Arabidopsis thaliana: one gene and its partners. The protein of the gene in region 2 interacts with the protein of the main gene of each other region in a pairwise test. Each region holds a gene or a part of one and is shown on either strand. Other genes may lie near its edges.

Region 1 (6,465 bases), on a different chromosome or scaffold from region 2:
ATCCATCTCCAGAGCTTCCATTGGGTAAAACAGCAGCTGATTTGGCTTACGCAAATGGACACAGGGGAATTTCGGGATTTCTTGCAGAGTCTTCCTTAACTAGTTATCTTGAAAAGCTAACAGTGGACTCAAAGGAAAATAGCCCTGCCAACTCTTGTGGAGAAAAAGCTGTTCAAACAGTCTCTGAGCGAACCGCTGCTCCTATGACCTATGGCGATGTACCAGAGAAACTTTCCTTGAAGGATTCACTTACTGCTGTCCGTAATGCTACGCAAGCGGCTGATCGTCTCCATCAAGTATTCAGGATGCAATCATTCCAACGGAAACAGCTGTGTGATATTGGCGATGATGAAAAGATTGATATCTCCGACCAGTTAGCTGTTTCTTTTGCAGCTTCTAAAACTAAGAATCCAGGACAGGGTGATGTCTCTCTTAGTTGTGCTGCTACCCATATCCAGAAGAAATATCGTGGTTGGAAGAAGAGAAAAGAGTTTCTTTTAATCCGACAAAGAATCGTTAAAATTCAGGTTTGCCTTTCATTGAGTTTTTTTTTCTCCCCCTTATTTCTTTGCATAAGTCTTTTGTCTGGTTTCTCATTGCTGGAATCATATTACATTTACCTTTAGGCTCATGTGAGAGGACATCAGGTCCGGAAACAATACCGAACAGTCATCTGGTCTGTGGGATTACTCGAGAAAATCATTTTGCGTTGGAGACGCAAAGGTAATGGTTTGAGAGGGTTTAAACGCAATGCAGTCGCCAAAACCGTGGAACCGGAACCGCCTGTATCAGCTATATGTCCTAGGATCCCACAGGAAGATGAGTATGATTATCTTAAAGAGGGAAGAAAACAAACAGAGGAAAGGCTACAGAAGGCTCTGACTCGTGTTAAGTCGATGGTTCAATACCCAGAAGCACGGGATCAATACCGTAGACTCCTAACGGTTGTTGAGGGCTTCCGTGAAAATGAGGTACCCAAGACCCATAACATAATCAGTTAATCATATTTTGTTGAGCATTCTTGTGATAAATTGTTGTTGCAGGCTTCATCAAGTGCATCTATAAACAATAAAGAAGAAGAAGCAGTCAACTGTGAAGAAGACGATTTTATTGACATTGAGTCTCTTTTGAACGATGACACATTGATGATGTCTATTTCTCCTTGATTTTACTTTCTGACTCGTATTCATTTTTCCTTCTTTTACTTTCTAACTTTATTTCTTCTCTGTAAATACCATAGTTGATATTTACCGCTTAATTTATTACTTGGATTGAAATAGAATTATTCACTATTTTCTTTCGTCTTAACAATATATAACTTTTTTATTTGTTCATTTGGCTTTTCTCTGCTAATATTATATAGCCAAGTGTTGGATTACTCTGATTCATATTTGTATCCGTATTGAATATTCTTCTCTTTATTAGCTGTTTTCTGCAATTTATACATCATATTTGTTTTGGTCAAACTCATACATCAGTCATATTGTTATAGTTTAAATTTGAATGGTAGTATGATATTGAGCTAACTTTTAAAGGTTATAAATCCGGGTCGACATGCCATTTTATCTACCAAATTTGGATTGGTAAACCATTAAAGCTATAAAAAAAACTTAACTTGGATTTTCCTATAATCTGAAGATAAAATTGGATTGACGGGCAAGGCTACAGAAAATGGAAACTTAACAATAAATTATAGCAGTATATATTTTAATTTTTTCATTATTATATTGAGGTTTTTAGTGGCTTGACTAGCTTAAAATCTATTTTTCCACGAGTGGAAAAGTTCATTAAGAGAAGAAATGGCCAACAAAAGAAATTATAAACCTAAATCAATTTGTACAAGCTTATTAAAAAAAATTGAAACGAGTAATTCTAATAAATAAAGGAATTAAAATTAAAATTTCCATTTTTCTTAATTTAATTTTTTTTTTTAATTTCTTTATCGATTTCGTAAAGACAATTATTAATCAATCAAAAAGAGAAGATTCGCCTTGGGCAGACGGACTTGAGTTCACGGCTGGCCAAGTCATCACTCGTAATTAAAAGGGTTTAGACACAGTGCGCACGATAGCATCTGTGTTTGCTTCTTCCAAATCTCTCTCCTATTTTTCTTTCCCCTTTTCTCTCTTAAACCCTCCTAAAACCCTTGTCTCTCTCTCTCTCTCTCTCTCTTTCTCGTGAGATCGCGTTATGTCGAATACGCTTTCTTTGATTCAAAGCAATGCCTCGAATCCCAAAGTTTGGGTAGTGATCGGCGTGACGGTGGCCGGGATCGTGATTCTGGCGGAGACCCGGAAGCGGCGGATTAGAGCCCTTAGAGAAGAAGACTTTGGTGCTTTCTTAGATCGTTTCGAGCTTCTTCCTTTCCCTCCGCCTCCTCCTCCTGCTGCTAAACAATCTCTCTCTGGTCTTACCTTCTCCATCTCCGACGCGTATGTATCTCTCTCTCTCTCTCTCTCTCTCTCTCTCTTAAAAATCATAACCTATTTTCAAATTTGTTTTTTCCTGCTTTATATAATGATCTCGCTTATAAAGTTCAAAACTTTTGTTTGGTTTAATTGAGATTTTGACTTGCTTAGACGAAGTCATGTTGCAATGAAATGAATAAAGTTATATCGGGGTTAATGGTTTGACAGGTTCGATGTTAAGGATTATATCACAGGATTTGGTTGTCCACAATGGAAGAAGACTCATGAGGCTGCTGAGAAAACTGCTGTGGTTGTCACGACGCTCTTGAAAAATGGAGCTACTTGTGTTGGCAAGACTATAATGGATGAGCTGGGTTTTGGGTATCTCTCCACTCCTACCATTCTGCATATGAAATGACCTTTCGGTAGTTGGTTTGAAGAAAGTTTGTGTTTTGAATGTGATTTTACAGGATTATTGGAGAAAACAAGCACTATGGAACTCCTATTAATCCATTGATGCCAGATAATGTTCCTGGAGGATGTTCCAGTGGCTCAGCAGTTTCTGTTGGGGCTGAACTCGTTGACTTTTCACTTGGTATTGTTAATCTCTTCGTTTTCTCTTGGTAATGTGTTTCTTGGATTACGTTTGGTTCTTTATGCTAATCAAAAGATGCTTGATTTGCAGGGATTGATACCACTGGTGGTGTTAGAGTCCCAGCAGCCTTTTGTGGTATTCTTGGTTTTCGACCATCTCAGGGGACTGTTTCTTCAGTTGGAGTTTTGCCCAATTCTCAGAGCCTAGAGACTGTTGGTACGTTACATTCCCCTCCCTTTTAGTGTTTTTAGTGTAGTTTCAATGGTACATGCTACTCTAGGTGTTTGCCTTCCTGATTATTGAACTCATTGATTCGTTCTGTAGGATGGTTTGCCTCTGATCCATCCGTTTTGTGTCAAGTTGGACATGCCTTACTAAATCTGAGTGCAGTAACACATAGAAGGCAAAGATCTTTAATCTTTGCTGATGATTTATTCGAGCTCTCTGACATTCCTAAGCAAAAGTCGGTGCAAGTTGTCAGAAAGGCAATCGAGAATCTATCTGGCTGTAAGTTTGCAGCTGTATTGTTTCCTTCTCTTTGCCCTTCTCCAGATTCATATCTTATGTCTCTTGACCACTGGCTCATGCAGACAAGACTCCAAAACATGTTAACGTTGGCCAATATGTCGCTTCAAATGTACCAAGTCTTGCGGAATTCTGTGAGCAATCTGGGAAATCCCAAAATTCAGCATCAACTTTAAGGGCTCTTTCATCTGTGATGTTGGCTATACAAAGGTATTTAAGAAGCTCACACTTCTTGAAATTTTCACTGCATCAATACTTTTTTCTCTCTCTCGTTCCTTTTAAACGGGTGCAATAAAAGATTGTTGTTATTCCCTCTTTGCTGGAGGTTACTATTTTCTTCTTAAGTTGTATTATATGCAAATATCGAAGAAGAAAGGATTTTCTTTTTACCAGGCATGAGTTCAAAACAAATCATGAAGAATGGTGGCAAACATGCAAATCGTTTCTAGGGCCAAGATTTTCCAATGATGTTGTTACAGCTCTGAAGAGCAAAAACGAGAGCATTAAATCCCTCTACAGAGTGAAAAATGAGATGCGGGCCACCATTCAAAGCCTTTTAAAGGTAAACTCGATTTTTGGAAATTTAAAATTTTCACAGCCATTAGTGTCTTGAGGACATTTTGCCACCAAAACACTGAAGTCTGAAGAGATTGAATTATTAACTTTCATTTTTGCGGCTTCTTTTTAGTTCTATGGTATTATGATTAACCATAGATCGGTATCTTATTACTAGGAAGATGGAATTCTGGTAATCCCCACAGTTGCTGATCCCCCTCCAAGGCTTAACACAAAGAGAAATAAATCTTTGAATGAGTTTCTTGATCGTACTTATGCACTCTCCTGCATTGCAAGCATGTCTGGATGTTGTCAGGTATATTTCCATCTCCTCTTTCTCATTCAATGGTTGGGGAACATTCTTGTTGCCTTTTCCTTACTCTTCAGTCTTTAGTCATGACACAAATATATACATATTCTTCAGGTTACAATTCCTTTAGGGGAACATGGTGATCGTCCAATATCCGTGTCGCTTCTTACTTACTATGGAGGTGATAAGTTCCTTCTCGATACAACTCTCGATGTATATGCATCCCTTCAAGACCAAGCCAAACTTGCATCCAACTTAGCTCCAGTGTCTGACACCAATGGTAACATGGAGGCTTCTGAAGTTATGAAAGAAAAGGTAAAACTATCTCTTTGAGTTTGACAAATAGTATATTTGGTTCTGATCCATGATATGCTACTGGAGTTGGAATGTTCTCAAAGTTAACAGTGGATAAAATGTAATTCCAGGGCAATGCTGCATACAAGGGGAAACAATGGAATAAGGCGGTAAACTTTTATACAGAAGCTATAAAATTGAATGGAGCAAATGCTACTTATTATTGCAATAGAGCTGCAGCTTTCTTGGAACTTTGCTGGTAATTGTTCTCTTCATATCTTTCATTCTGATCTGAATATAATTTATTATGATTTTCTGATCTGAGAGTTTGTTTATAGCTTCCAACAAGCCGAACAAGATTGTACCAAGGCCATGTTGATCGATAAGAAGGTGAAAACTTGATTAGCTGCCTTATTTCTCCATCCCTCGTAGTTTGTTTTGTTACATTGTGTTTTTAACATGGTTTTGTGTTTAAGTACACTTGAGCTGGAACAAAACTATTCACTTTTTATTTATTTGATTTGCGGCGTAATACCTTTGTACTATGACTATCTAGTTTCATTATCACTCAGATCACTCACTATAGACACAATGACGCATTATTTGGAAGCTTTGATTCTTATAATAGTTATTTGTTTCTACAGAATGTGAAGGCATATTTGAGACGAGGGACTGCTAGAGAATCACTTGTACGGTACAAGGAAGCTGCTGCAGGTATGATGATTAAACTACTCTGAGATTGTAATTTTATCACATTGGAGAAACTTGTTAAAAGATAAAATTCATCTAGCTATCCAGATGAGTTACTCTCTCTAGTAGGGTATTGGAGCGTAACATTATGGTTGATCATCTCTGCAGATTTCAGGCACGCATTGGTCCTTGAACCACAGAACAAGACGGCAAAGGTTGCTGAGAAGAGACTCCGAAAACACATATGAGTTAAAAAGGATTATTACTCGATTTCTCTTGTTCACCAATCTATCTTTTCACTTATCTAAAACCCTAAAAAGGAAAGGTTTTGCTCCGGTTTCAACAGACTAATAATTTAGTGGTTTTGTGACATGTGTACAGATTGGGATGAAAACTTCTACCTCTAATTACTTGATCTGAAAAGTTTTATGGGGTCCTTTTAGCTTCTTTGTTTTCTTAACGGTCTTTTACGTAAATTACAATTTCCCCCAAGTCCAATACTGTAATTCCTTAAATTACACGGAGGGACCCATAAATGACACGTTTACAATCAATTTCTCGACAAATAACTGAATTCGTTGTTTGTTTTTTTCCTCTTCGTCATCGTCACGCCTCCGTATCTTCTCCTCTGTTTCATTTTTGAATTATTCGAATCAAAAATGTTTGATCATATGAAACTGCTGCGATGCTTCAGCTTCACGGCGTCGCGAGATTGGTTATTCCGGCAATCATTCGCAAACGCCGGTCTACGTTCCGTAACGACAGATCTCTCCCACGGCAATTCAATCGCATCAACAGCTATGCATTGTTGGATTCCTAAATCCCCGAATCGATCTAAACCTAATCTCCTCCTCCTCCACGGATTCGGCGCCAACGCAATGTGGCAATACGGAGAACATCTCCGAGCTTTCACCGGCCGATTCAACGTCTACGTTCCCGATCTCCTCTTCTTCGGGTTATCATCCACATCGGAACCAAACCGAACCGAATCTTTCCAGGCTCGGTGTCTGATGAGGTTAATGGAAGCGCACGGAGTCCAGAGGATGAACATCGTCGGGATTAGTTACGGTGGATTCGTTGGGTATAGT
Region 2 (5,887 bases):
CTTTAGTTCTATGATCATTTTGTAGCTTAAACTTGAAGGTAGTCAAATATAGCCGGAAAAAGACCACGAATGACATCCAATCTCGTCCATGCACGGATCAAACTATAAACTTGCAAGTTTTTTTTTAATAGTGTGAAAAAAACTATTATGCAGCCAATTACATTATTTTCACGATTTTCTAGTTTAATCACTCAAGTCGGTATCCCATGAGTTATAGGAATCAAGGGAAGTTGAGCTAGTTATTTCTGGTTCTTCCATGAAGATTCTCCATAGCCAAATGGTCTTTGTACAACGATTCATGGAGTTTAAAAGTCGTGGTGGATGCTCCACAAAAGTGTGGTTAAAAAGTCTTGCTAATTTATAGTTTGGGAAAAATGTCATTTAATCCTCCAACTTTTAAAAAATAGCCATTTTATACATCAACTTCGTATATGGCCGTTTAAAACATGAACTAAACGTTGATTAAATTTTAAAACATGATCTTTCGTTGACCAGGCCAAAATAGACATGCCGTTATCAGTCATTAACGGAATTTCTAACGTCCGTTATCATCCGTTAACTTTATTAGTCAAGTTTTAAATTGTGGCCATTTTAAACATCAACTTTTTATGTGGCCATTTAAAACATGAACTAAACGTTGACTACCATTTAAGACATAAAAATATCGTTGACCAGACCAAAATAGACATGTCTTTATCAGTAGAACCTAGAAACCCGTTAATAACTGTTAATCTGTCCAAAACAACGTCGTTTGAGAATAATCGAAAGAACATAAAGATTTTTCCCATATGAAATCTCCATATCAAAAAGTTTTAAGTAGAACCCAAGAACATAGTTTGATAAAGAGATAATCGCAGTGTCAGTAATTGGAAGCAAATAAAGGTATTTTCGTTTATATATTTGTTTTAAATTTGAAATTGAATCATGGAAGCAAATTGAAGACTCATTATAAGATTGTTCGTCTTGTTTGAGCGGTTGTAGAAATAGATTTGGGGAACTGGGGTTTCATTTAGAAAACAATCCTGATTTTCTTTTGATTATTCTCAAAACAAAGTCGTTTTAGGGATACTAATAGAGTCGTTAACAAGTGATAATGAATGTTATAAGTTCTTTTAATGAATGATGACAACATGTTTATTTTGGCTTGGTCAACGAATTTCTCATGTTTTAAATGGTAGTCAACGCTTAGTTCATGTTTAAAATTGCCACATATAAAGTCGATGTTTAAATTGACCACAATTTAAAACTTGACTAATAAAGTCGTTAACGGATGATAACGGACGTTAGAAGTTCCGTTAATGACTGATAACGACATGTCTATTTTGGCATGATCAACGAATAATCATGTTTTAAAAGTTAGTCAACATTTAATTCATGTTTTAAACAGCCGCATACGAAATTGATGTATAAAATGACCATTTTTTGAAAGTTAGGAGATTAATTGATATTTTTCCCTTTATAGTTTACAGGTACATACGTTGATAACACAAATCGTATAACTTTCTAACGGTACAGAAAATAGTAAACCGTACAAAAATAATAAAAAAGGGTAAGATGTAGAAGTATAAAACTAATAGTACAAATTAAAAGATTTTGGTTCCACTTGTATGTATAAGTGATTACATCAAAATGGTATTACTAAGTCATCATTTAGATTTGATGAAGTTTGTATTCGTGTCATAAACCGGGCGTAGGTGGAGTTATTGTCAGTTTGGTAGCGTTTTACGACCACACATAAAAACATGTTTATAAATTGTTAAAAAACAATAAGACATGTCATAAATCTAAATGCCACAAGTAGAATTATCGAAATAAAGCTTTTACATAAATACACACACCCAAACTAAAAAAGAAAAAAAAAAGAAAGAGAGAGAGAGAAGAAGAATCGTGGAGATGGCTTCGACCCCGAAGCTTACCAGTACAATTTCATCATCTTCTCCATCTCTTCAATTCCTCTGCAAAAAACTCCCAATCGCAATTCATCTACCATCATCTTCTTCCTCTAGCTTTCTCTCGCTTCCTAAAACCCTAACCTCTCTCTATTCTCTCCGTCCCCGTATCGCCCTACTCTCAAACCACCGCTATTACCACTCTCGCCGGTTTTCTGTTTGTGCCAGTACCGATAATGGAGCTGAATCAGACCGCCACTACGATTTTGATCTCTTCACTATCGGTGCCGGAAGCGGCGGCGTCCGCGCCTCTCGCTTCGCCACTAGCTTCGGTGCATCCGCCGCCGTTTGCGAGCTTCCTTTTTCCACTATCTCTTCCGATACTGCTGGAGGCGTTGGAGGAACGTAAGATTTCTTCCTTCTTGTGGCTTATATCGATAGCTAGTGAATTTGACTTTAGTAGTAGCTATACCAGAATTTGAAGCATTTGCTTGATGATTTATGGTTTGATTGTGTTGTCTACTCATTTTTGGTTATTTTGCAGGTGTGTATTGAGAGGATGTGTACCAAAGAAGTTACTTGTGTATGCATCCAAATACAGTCATGAGTTTGAAGACAGTCATGGATTTGGTTGGAAGTATGAGACTGAGCCTTCTCATGATTGGACTACTTTGATTGCTAACAAGAATGCTGAGTTACAGCGGTTGACTGGTATTTATAAGAATATACTGAGCAAAGCTAATGTCAAGTTGATTGAAGGTCGTGGAAAGGTATGCCGAGGCTCGGTGTTTATATAGTTCATGAGTTAACCTCTATGTATTGATTTGAGCTTGAGTATGTATTTTATATGTGTAGGTTATAGACCCACACACTGTTGATGTAGATGGGAAAATCTATACTACGAGGAATATTCTGATTGCAGTTGGTGGACGTCCTTTCATTCCTGACATTCCAGGAAAAGAGTTTGCTATTGATTCTGATGCCGCGCTTGATTTGCCTTCCAAGCCTAAGAAAATTGCAATAGTTGGTGGTGGCTACATAGCCCTGGAGTTTGCGGGGATCTTCAATGGTCTTAACTGTGAAGTTCATGTATTTATAAGGCAAAAGAAGGTGCTGAGGGGATTTGATGAAGATGTAAGTAAAAAATTGAGAATGACTTTTGCTGCTTTCATTTATCCGTCTGGATATTTTCTAATTGTAATTGTTATTCTTGTTTCAGGTCAGGGATTTCGTTGGAGAGCAGATGTCTTTAAGAGGTATTGAGTTTCACACTGAAGAATCCCCTGAAGCCATCATCAAAGCTGGAGATGGCTCGTTCTCTCTGAAGACCAGCAAGGGAACTGTTGAGGGATTTTCGCATGTTATGTTTGCAACTGGTCGCAAGCCCAACACAAAGGTATAGTGTGATTTTTATTATTTTCCAAAGGATGTTTATAAAATGAAAACTGGTAGCAAAGTTCATCCTTTAATAATTTGTCTAAGATAAACTGACCACTGCTGCCCCTTGTTTATGACTTTAATGGAATATGATTGTTCATTGATGTAATGTTGGCTGTTATAACAGAACTTAGGGTTGGAGAATGTTGGCGTTAAAATGGCGAAAAATGGAGCAATAGAGGTATGATCCAGTGTTTTACCTAGTTTTTTTGTCACTTAGGATTTCTATTATTGCATTGTGCACAGTTCTCTTGTTATACCTGGTTACTTCTTGTGATTGTGCTCCATGTTTCCACTTTTTTTTTGTAAGGTTGACGAATATTCACAGACATCTGTTCCATCCATCTGGGCTGTTGGGGATGTTACTGACCGAATCAATTTGACTCCAGTTGCTTTGATGGAGGGAGGTGCATTGGCTAAAACTTTGTTTCAAAATGAGCCAACAAAGCCTGATTATAGGTAACATAACAATCTTAACTTTTGATGTTTAAACCTTTGGGATTTTTTGGTGATTGATGAGAGTTTTTCTCTGTTTAGTCTTACATGCTGCATCAGTGATCTATAACATTTTATAACTGTTGTCTCTGATGGCTTTTATCCTTTCTGTGTTCTATAATCAACTAGAGCTGTTCCCTGCGCCGTTTTCTCCCAGCCACCTATTGGAACAGTTGGTCTAACTGAAGAGCAGGTAAGTAGGATGATTTGTCAAAAATATGGTTTATCATGCATGCCACTACATAGAAATATTAACTACGTGTTTGCAGGCCATAGAACAATATGGTGATGTGGATGTTTACACATCGAACTTTAGGCCATTAAAGGCTACCCTTTCAGGACTTCCAGACCGAGTATTTATGAAACTCATTGTCTGTGCAAACACCAATAAAGTTCTCGGTGTTCACATGTGTGGAGAAGATTCACCAGAAATCATCCAGGTTTCATTTTTTAACATGATTGGTATTCTCTGAAAAGTAATCACGGAAAACATATATGATTGAATATGAATTTTATTTTACAATTTTTCAGGGATTTGGGGTTGCAGTTAAAGCTGGTTTAACTAAGGCCGACTTTGATGCTACAGTGGGTGTTCACCCCACAGCAGCTGAGGAGTTTGTCACTATGAGGGCTCCAACCAGGAAATTCCGCAAAGACTCCTCTGAGGTTTGTTTGTGAACAGTCAAAACTTATCCATCTAGTTATTTCTCGTGGTTTTGCAACATGGGAAAATGATTGGAACTGAGTGAGATGTGTATGTCCAATTTCATTTCAGGGAAAGGCAAGTCCTGAAGCTAAAACAGCTGCTGGGGTGTAGAGAAGGTTGCAAAAAAGATTGTATTTACGGCATTGGAGCCCCCTGATAAGGTATTCATTCACCAGTTTCCGAAGTATTGGTCCTAATTCCTAAAATTAGAAAAGACATGCAATGCATTAGCTCATACCATGCTTAAGTAAGATGTCAATTAGGGCCAAAGCTTTGTTTCTGCCCACCCCGGAAAAATAGGGTAGACTAGAATTCTCCTCCATAACGGTGTTTGATATTTGACTTGCATGTTTGCAGGAGAACATTGTGTCTGTGAAGAAGAAGCTTTTCTTTTGGCAGAGAATATTTTTTCATAATGTCGTGTGAAGATATGATCGCTGTCCTGCAATACTTTTGATCGTTTGACACACGACCAAATTCCTCGAGAGAGAGAGGTTGTAACTATTCCGAAAGAGCTCTAAAACTGAAGCTTTCAGTTCTTGTGACATCATAATGAAGGCTGTATAGATATAACAGTTTCGAGTTTTATTTGGATTTGTAGTATTTTTGTTTTCTATTGTGTTGAACTTGTCTCTTTGAAGTCACCACGGGAGACCTCATATCAGCATCGTTGCGAATCAAATGAGGTTTTGAGTTTTGACAAGAAATTCAACACGATCACCAAATCCTTGAGTCATTATCATATTCAGATTTCAGAGTCTCCTACCATAATCATATTTATGGTTCGACTGTACATTATTACTGTTTAAAATTGATTTGATTTTTGAAAAGTTAAAAACTAATAGTTGACTAAAAAATTCATAAACAAATATATACTTTTTAAAGAGATACGTTTTGATTAATAACAAAAAGGAAATATATACATTAAGTATTATAATTAATATACTTATATAACTAAAAATCACTATTATAAGTAACAATATCTCTAAAACTTTGAATGGCCATTAAATTTTTCAAAAATAGATAGAAGAAAGAATTTTTTTAAAAAAGATATATCCAAGAGATTTCCAACTATGATAAAGCAAATATGTCATAATTATATTTATTGGCTTATCGCGACACGATTTCCAGATTCTTATTATTATTTTGTAGTGTAATTTGCTTTAATAACTCTTTAACTAGTAACTAATTTACTACTAATTGTTTTTAGGAAGAATCTTTTCCTTACAAAATAGTACTAATATTAGTCAACTATTTTCAGCACAGGTTAAGTACAGTGGATCCCAACGTCTACAAAAAAAAGACCACGTGACGTGATCTATTCCAAAACCAAGGACAAAACTGTCATTCACCAAGCTAG
Region 3 (4,700 bases), on a different chromosome or scaffold from region 2:
ACTACGAGTATCTATACAGATTCCTAGAGCCGTTGGTTGCTCCGGAGAGTGGCCACGTGCTTTACACGCGCACCTCCACACGTGTCCGGTGACGGTCTCGTACCTTGTAAACCCTTTCGCCGGGTCAGAGTGTTTGCTTCCGTTGGCTTTACTTCGTAGCTTCTGCAGCTGAGATGTGCTCAGTGGTAGCATCACCACAATCGTTTTCTTCTTTCTCTCTTCTACATTGTCCGTTTCTCCGATCAAAAACGGTGGCTGATCAAACTCTTTGTGGTCGAACTTTGGGGGCGACACAAACGGTGGGAGCGGTTCACCAGCCCAGAGGATTTTCCGGTCTAGAAATGGAACGGTTTCTAACGGTTCACCGCGCGCGAGTCTTCCCCATTCCGATATTAAGTGAAGCGCGCTTTGGCCATCTACGATCGCGTGGGAAACGTTGACGCTAAGGCTTATTCCACCGCATTTGAATTTGGTTACCTGAGCTAAAAATAGAGGAATCGTTTCGATAGGGTTTTTATAGTTTACTTGCGGCATAAGATTCTCGAATTCCGGCGTAGGAGAGAAGTCTTTGAAATCCGAAAGCTTCCCCTCAGATTCCGCTTCAATGAATTCCACTCCCTCGGCGTTACAATTGAGCTCGAACCGTCCCCGAGGGAGCCATCTGAGACGGCCAGCCATAGGGTAAAAATGGACTAGCACACGGCTCAACGAGGTTTTTAGGATTTCGACTACATTGCCTTGGAAAGATTCAGATGGCTTGTCGTAAAAGTAAAGGGTGGGAATGTGAGTAATTGTACCAACTTGATCCCACTCGGCTAAGGGAAACCTACCGCTCCACGTTGGTTCGGCCGGTACTATAGTGTAAGATTTTCTAAAAGTTATGGGAGCCATAACACAAACCCCCTTTCTTTTTCTCTTCTCTTTTTGAAGTTCGTGCTAAAGTAATGTTTATATAGTACACAGAATCATATGGATTCAACGAATTTTTCTTGCTGTTAGTCAAAATTCAAAAATGTTTTTCTCGTGGTTTAGTTTGTTTCCTTCGAAGCAGCTTAATTAGTGGAAGTGAGAATAAGGTTTAGTTTTGTTGGTTGTATATGATCACGCGTATTACCCTTCTTCTCTATTTTGTTCACATTGTGGATGAATATATATTTCCACGAAAAAATGAAAAAAAACGAGGTAAGAACATATAACATAAAATTCATATCACTATTAGGGAATGTGTTATACTTTTTTATGCAAGTATATTCCAAAGTATAAATTCTAAACTAAATCCTTAAGTATATATCATAAACTCTAAAAAGAAATGGTAAATCCAAAATACTAACTTCATAGCATTAAATTCAAAAGCCCACATCGCCAGTTTTGATTATATCTTCTGAATTTAAGTTGAGTTTATTTTTATAAAGTCATCTTGAAGAAAAAAAATGTGGATGATGTATTTTACACTGTTACACAGTAATTTTAGTTTTTACAAACTAACAAAAAGGAGAAAACAATTCCACTTTCTCCGAGTCTCCTCCTCCAGTAGTTTTGTCTTAATGGGTAATTTGTGGGCCTTTTAAAGCCCAAAATGAGTTATCGTATTAATAAACCCTAGTTTTAAACCCGACCGACTAAACCTTAACCCAGACCCGGACTCGACTGGATCTTCTCTTCTCGCCCCATCTCTCTCTATCGACGATCGAACTTACTTGAGTACTTCTTCTTCTTTTGACCAGAGCTCTCACACATACGAGTCACTATAATGGAAGGCGATCAAGAGACGAATGTTTATACTTTGGTGGCAAGGAAGCCTTCCTTCGATCTCCCAACAGCTTGCCCTAATTGTCTTCCTGCTTATATATACCTGAAATTAGCCCAGCTACCTTTTGAACTTGCGTTCAATTCAACCTTCCCTGATTCAGGTTTGCTTCTGTTTTGATTCCTCGCTTCGTATTTTGGTTGTTGTTAGATTAAGGTTTTGGTTGCGTGATGTGTATCTGTTGGAAGTGAACATTGTTAATTCTATTAGCTTGAATTGAGATTCGAATCCTAGACAAGATAATTTTGAGTTCTGGATTCGAATTCGTACTATTAAGATCCTGCTCTTAGGTTAATCAGAGTTTAGATAGGGTTTTTAGGCAATAGTAATTCAATTTTGAGGTGTATATATGCATTGGTGAATTTTTCTGGATAGGAAGTGTTCATCATAATTTCTTGTTATAGCTTTGGTTGAATTCCTCGTTATCGTAATTGTTAATTCGAAGAGAATGATGATGTTTCATACTTGTTCAGAAGAAATTAGTTGTTTGATTTAGCTATTGAGTTTGTATATTAACAATATCTTCAGAATTTCTATGTTATGTTTGATAATATCTCTAGACACTTCGTAATCCTTTGTTCACGGATTTACAAATTTGTGCATTCAATATTTATAAGCTTGTGTATTGACAATGTTAATCATTTGTTTTTAATATAGATGAACTGCCGTACTTTGAAAGTGATACATATGTTGCATATAACAATGAAGATGGAGGAGTAATTGAAAAACTGAAGAAAGATGGGATTGTTAATCTGGACTCTCAGCTACAGTCTCTTTCGGATTATTTATCTTTGAAGGCTCTTATTGTGTCTTGGCTAGAAGAAGCGCTTACCTATGAGATATGGGTTGGTACCGAGGGGATATCTACATCGAAAATCTACTATTCAGATCTTCCTTGGGTGATCAGCAAGGTCCTGTTTTATAAGCAGACATACTTGGCAAAGAACCGTTTAGGAATCACCAAAGAGAACGCAGAGCAAAGAGAAAAACAGGTCGGGTTTGTTTAAGTTTTGTTGTTACTTTAGAAGACCTGTGGTTTATATTTGTGAGCATTTGAACTAGTTATTAAAGTTCATAGTCTTAAATGTGAACAGATATACAAGAGAGCAAGTGAGGCATATGAAGCTTTGTCGACTAGGTTAGGTGAGCAGAAGTTTCTCTTTGAAGACAGGTATTGCAATCACATTCCGGAACTGGATTCTTTCCCTTAAGCCTTTTTGTAAAAGATTGACAATGTTTATATTATTCTCTTCCCACAGGCCATCGAGTTTGGATGCTTTCTTACTCTCGCACATACTTTTTATAATCCAAGCGTTACCAGTGAGCAGCTTTAAATTTCACCAATATATTTCTCAGTTATGGGTTTATCAGGTTGAATTTAGCCTTAGAACTATTTAGATGAAGTAGTTTTCTTAATGGTGCATGATCAGGTTACATCAGTGCTTCGGTGCAAACTTCTGGAACATAGTAATCTTGTGCGATATGCTGAGAAACTTAAGTCAGAGTTCCTTGAAGCCTCTTCTTCATCTCCTTCACCTCCACTTCACTCATTCCCTTCCTCATTTCCAAGAAAGAGTAAGACACATCTAACCTTCAACGTCCATATCATATATATTTCATCATATTATATATCTGTCATATATGCAACATTCATTGGATATGTTTAAGCCTGTGAAGGAAGTGAATTTCATCTTTTGTTCAGGTTCGAAGCCAAAGAGCAAACCAAAGGTAGAAAAGACCGAAGAGGAGAAAAAATTTAAGAAAAGAGCAAGGTTCTTTCTAGCTGCTCAGTTTCTAGCTGTCGTCATTTACGTATCAGTGATGGGAGGAGGTAGTTCTGATGAACTGGAGTATGAAGATGAAGATGACTAAACTAAAGCTTTTCTTATTAAATGGACCGGTAACTCTCAGGCGAACTCTCTGAGACTAAGATAAAAACATAACCAGTAATCTCTACGCTTTTTTCTTCTTGAACTCTTAGTTATGGAGAGGATACAGATGTGAGATTTAGTCACATTATAATGGTTTTCGACTTTTCGTTCTGAAGGAGAGCTTTTGGCTTTTATATAAATTTCATTGGTTTTTAAGGCACATCATGGGAACCGATTCACCGGATAAAATACCGAGGAACATTAGAAGACTCTTGGTACACATCCTCAGAATCAACTGAACTAACTCTATTTGTCTTACTAAATAATACAAATCTCATCCATCTAAGAAACTATCTTCTGATAGCAAAAGATGATGCCAAAAACCTACCTAATTCTAAACTCTCTAAAACCAAACAAAATTAATAACAAGTACTAGGAATTGAAATTTACATCCGGGGGCTGCTGCTCCGACGCATCGTCTGCTGGTTGGCTAACAAGCTTCGAGTGTTCATCGGCCGAGTTGATGGAAAACTCAGCTAGTGAACTAACTGCAACAGACATTCCATGGCAGAGAACCTTCACAGCAACCTCTGCAAGTTTCTCAGCAGTCATCACAACATCTTCTTCTCCCTTATCAGCCACTACAAGCTCCATGCTTTCTGACCCGGAGTATCTCCTTGACCCGCTTCCACTCCAGTTTGGATCTTCCCTAACTTGCCTTGCATATATTGAACCCATCCCTGAGGCAAAGAACTCAAGTTTGTCCAAAACTGGTTTTTCATTCAAGCTGTTAAGCAACCTTGACCATTGAATGCAGACTCGGTATATCGGGTGAAGACATGAGGATAATCTAACTTTTTCGGGGTCAGGATCACATCTGAAACATCTTAGAAGCCAACCAGATAATGCTTTCATGTAGGATCTCTGAGAGGTGATCCAGAATTCAAAACAGGTTCTCCAGTTTCGAAGCTGAGCTTCAAGATTCAAAGCAGATTGAGCTAATCTTTGAGAGTTAATAGCCT

Evidence for each region.
Region 1: the proteins of GR (region 2) and TOC64-V interact in a two-hybrid assay, tested with the Arabidopsis thaliana proteins (one study listed by BioGRID).
Region 3: the proteins of GR (region 2) and AT2G19080 interact in a two-hybrid assay, tested with the Arabidopsis thaliana proteins (one study listed by BioGRID).

The regions. Positions count from the first base shown.
Region 1 is NC_003076.8:2,926,126-2,932,590, forward strand, and holds TOC64-V (translocon at the outer membrane of chloroplasts 64-V), read left to right. Parts: upstream 1-2,047; 5' UTR 2,048-2,190; coding exon 2,191-2,432; intron 2,433-2,636; coding exon 2,637-2,789; intron 2,790-2,878; coding exon 2,879-3,003; intron 3,004-3,093; coding exon 3,094-3,219; intron 3,220-3,327; coding exon 3,328-3,510; intron 3,511-3,593; coding exon 3,594-3,738; intron 3,739-3,921; coding exon 3,922-4,090; intron 4,091-4,261; coding exon 4,262-4,399; intron 4,400-4,507; coding exon 4,508-4,708; intron 4,709-4,818; coding exon 4,819-4,946; intron 4,947-5,025; coding exon 5,026-5,077; intron 5,078-5,331; coding exon 5,332-5,401; intron 5,402-5,545; coding exon 5,546-5,625; 3' UTR 5,626-5,896; downstream 5,897-6,465. Other genes in the region: EICBP.B (ethylene induced calmodulin binding protein), read left to right, coding at 1-527, 627-971, 1,044-1,166; AT5G09430 (alpha/beta-Hydrolases superfamily protein), read left to right, coding at 6,037-6,465. UniProt on the Arabidopsis thaliana protein: Chaperone receptor mediating Hsp90-dependent protein targeting to mitochondria.
Region 2 is NC_003074.8:20,229,107-20,234,993, reverse strand, and holds GR (glutathione reductase), read left to right. Parts: upstream 1-1,782; 5' UTR 1,783-1,893; coding exon 1,894-2,294; intron 2,295-2,433; coding exon 2,434-2,659; intron 2,660-2,744; coding exon 2,745-3,023; intron 3,024-3,108; coding exon 3,109-3,285; intron 3,286-3,453; coding exon 3,454-3,507; intron 3,508-3,636; coding exon 3,637-3,785; intron 3,786-3,950; coding exon 3,951-4,014; intron 4,015-4,090; coding exon 4,091-4,261; intron 4,262-4,352; coding exon 4,353-4,487; intron 4,488-4,596; coding exon 4,597-4,638; 3' UTR 4,639-4,688; intron 4,689-4,884; 3' UTR 4,885-5,357; downstream 5,358-5,887.
Region 3 is NC_003071.7:8,261,068-8,265,767, forward strand, and holds AT2G19080 (metaxin-like protein), read left to right. Parts: upstream 1-1,632; 5' UTR 1,633-1,750; coding exon 1,751-1,910; intron 1,911-2,464; coding exon 2,465-2,799; intron 2,800-2,901; coding exon 2,902-2,978; intron 2,979-3,066; coding exon 3,067-3,127; coding exon of another isoform or gene 3,128-3,205; exon of another isoform or gene 3,206-3,237; coding exon 3,238-3,382; intron 3,383-3,509; coding exon 3,510-3,679; 3' UTR 3,680-4,071; downstream 4,072-4,700. Other genes in the region: SHT (spermidine hydroxycinnamoyl transferase), read right to left, coding at 1-891; AT2G19090 (DUF630 family protein (DUF630 and DUF632)), read right to left, coding at 4,111-4,700. UniProt on the Arabidopsis thaliana protein: Involved in transport of proteins into the mitochondrion.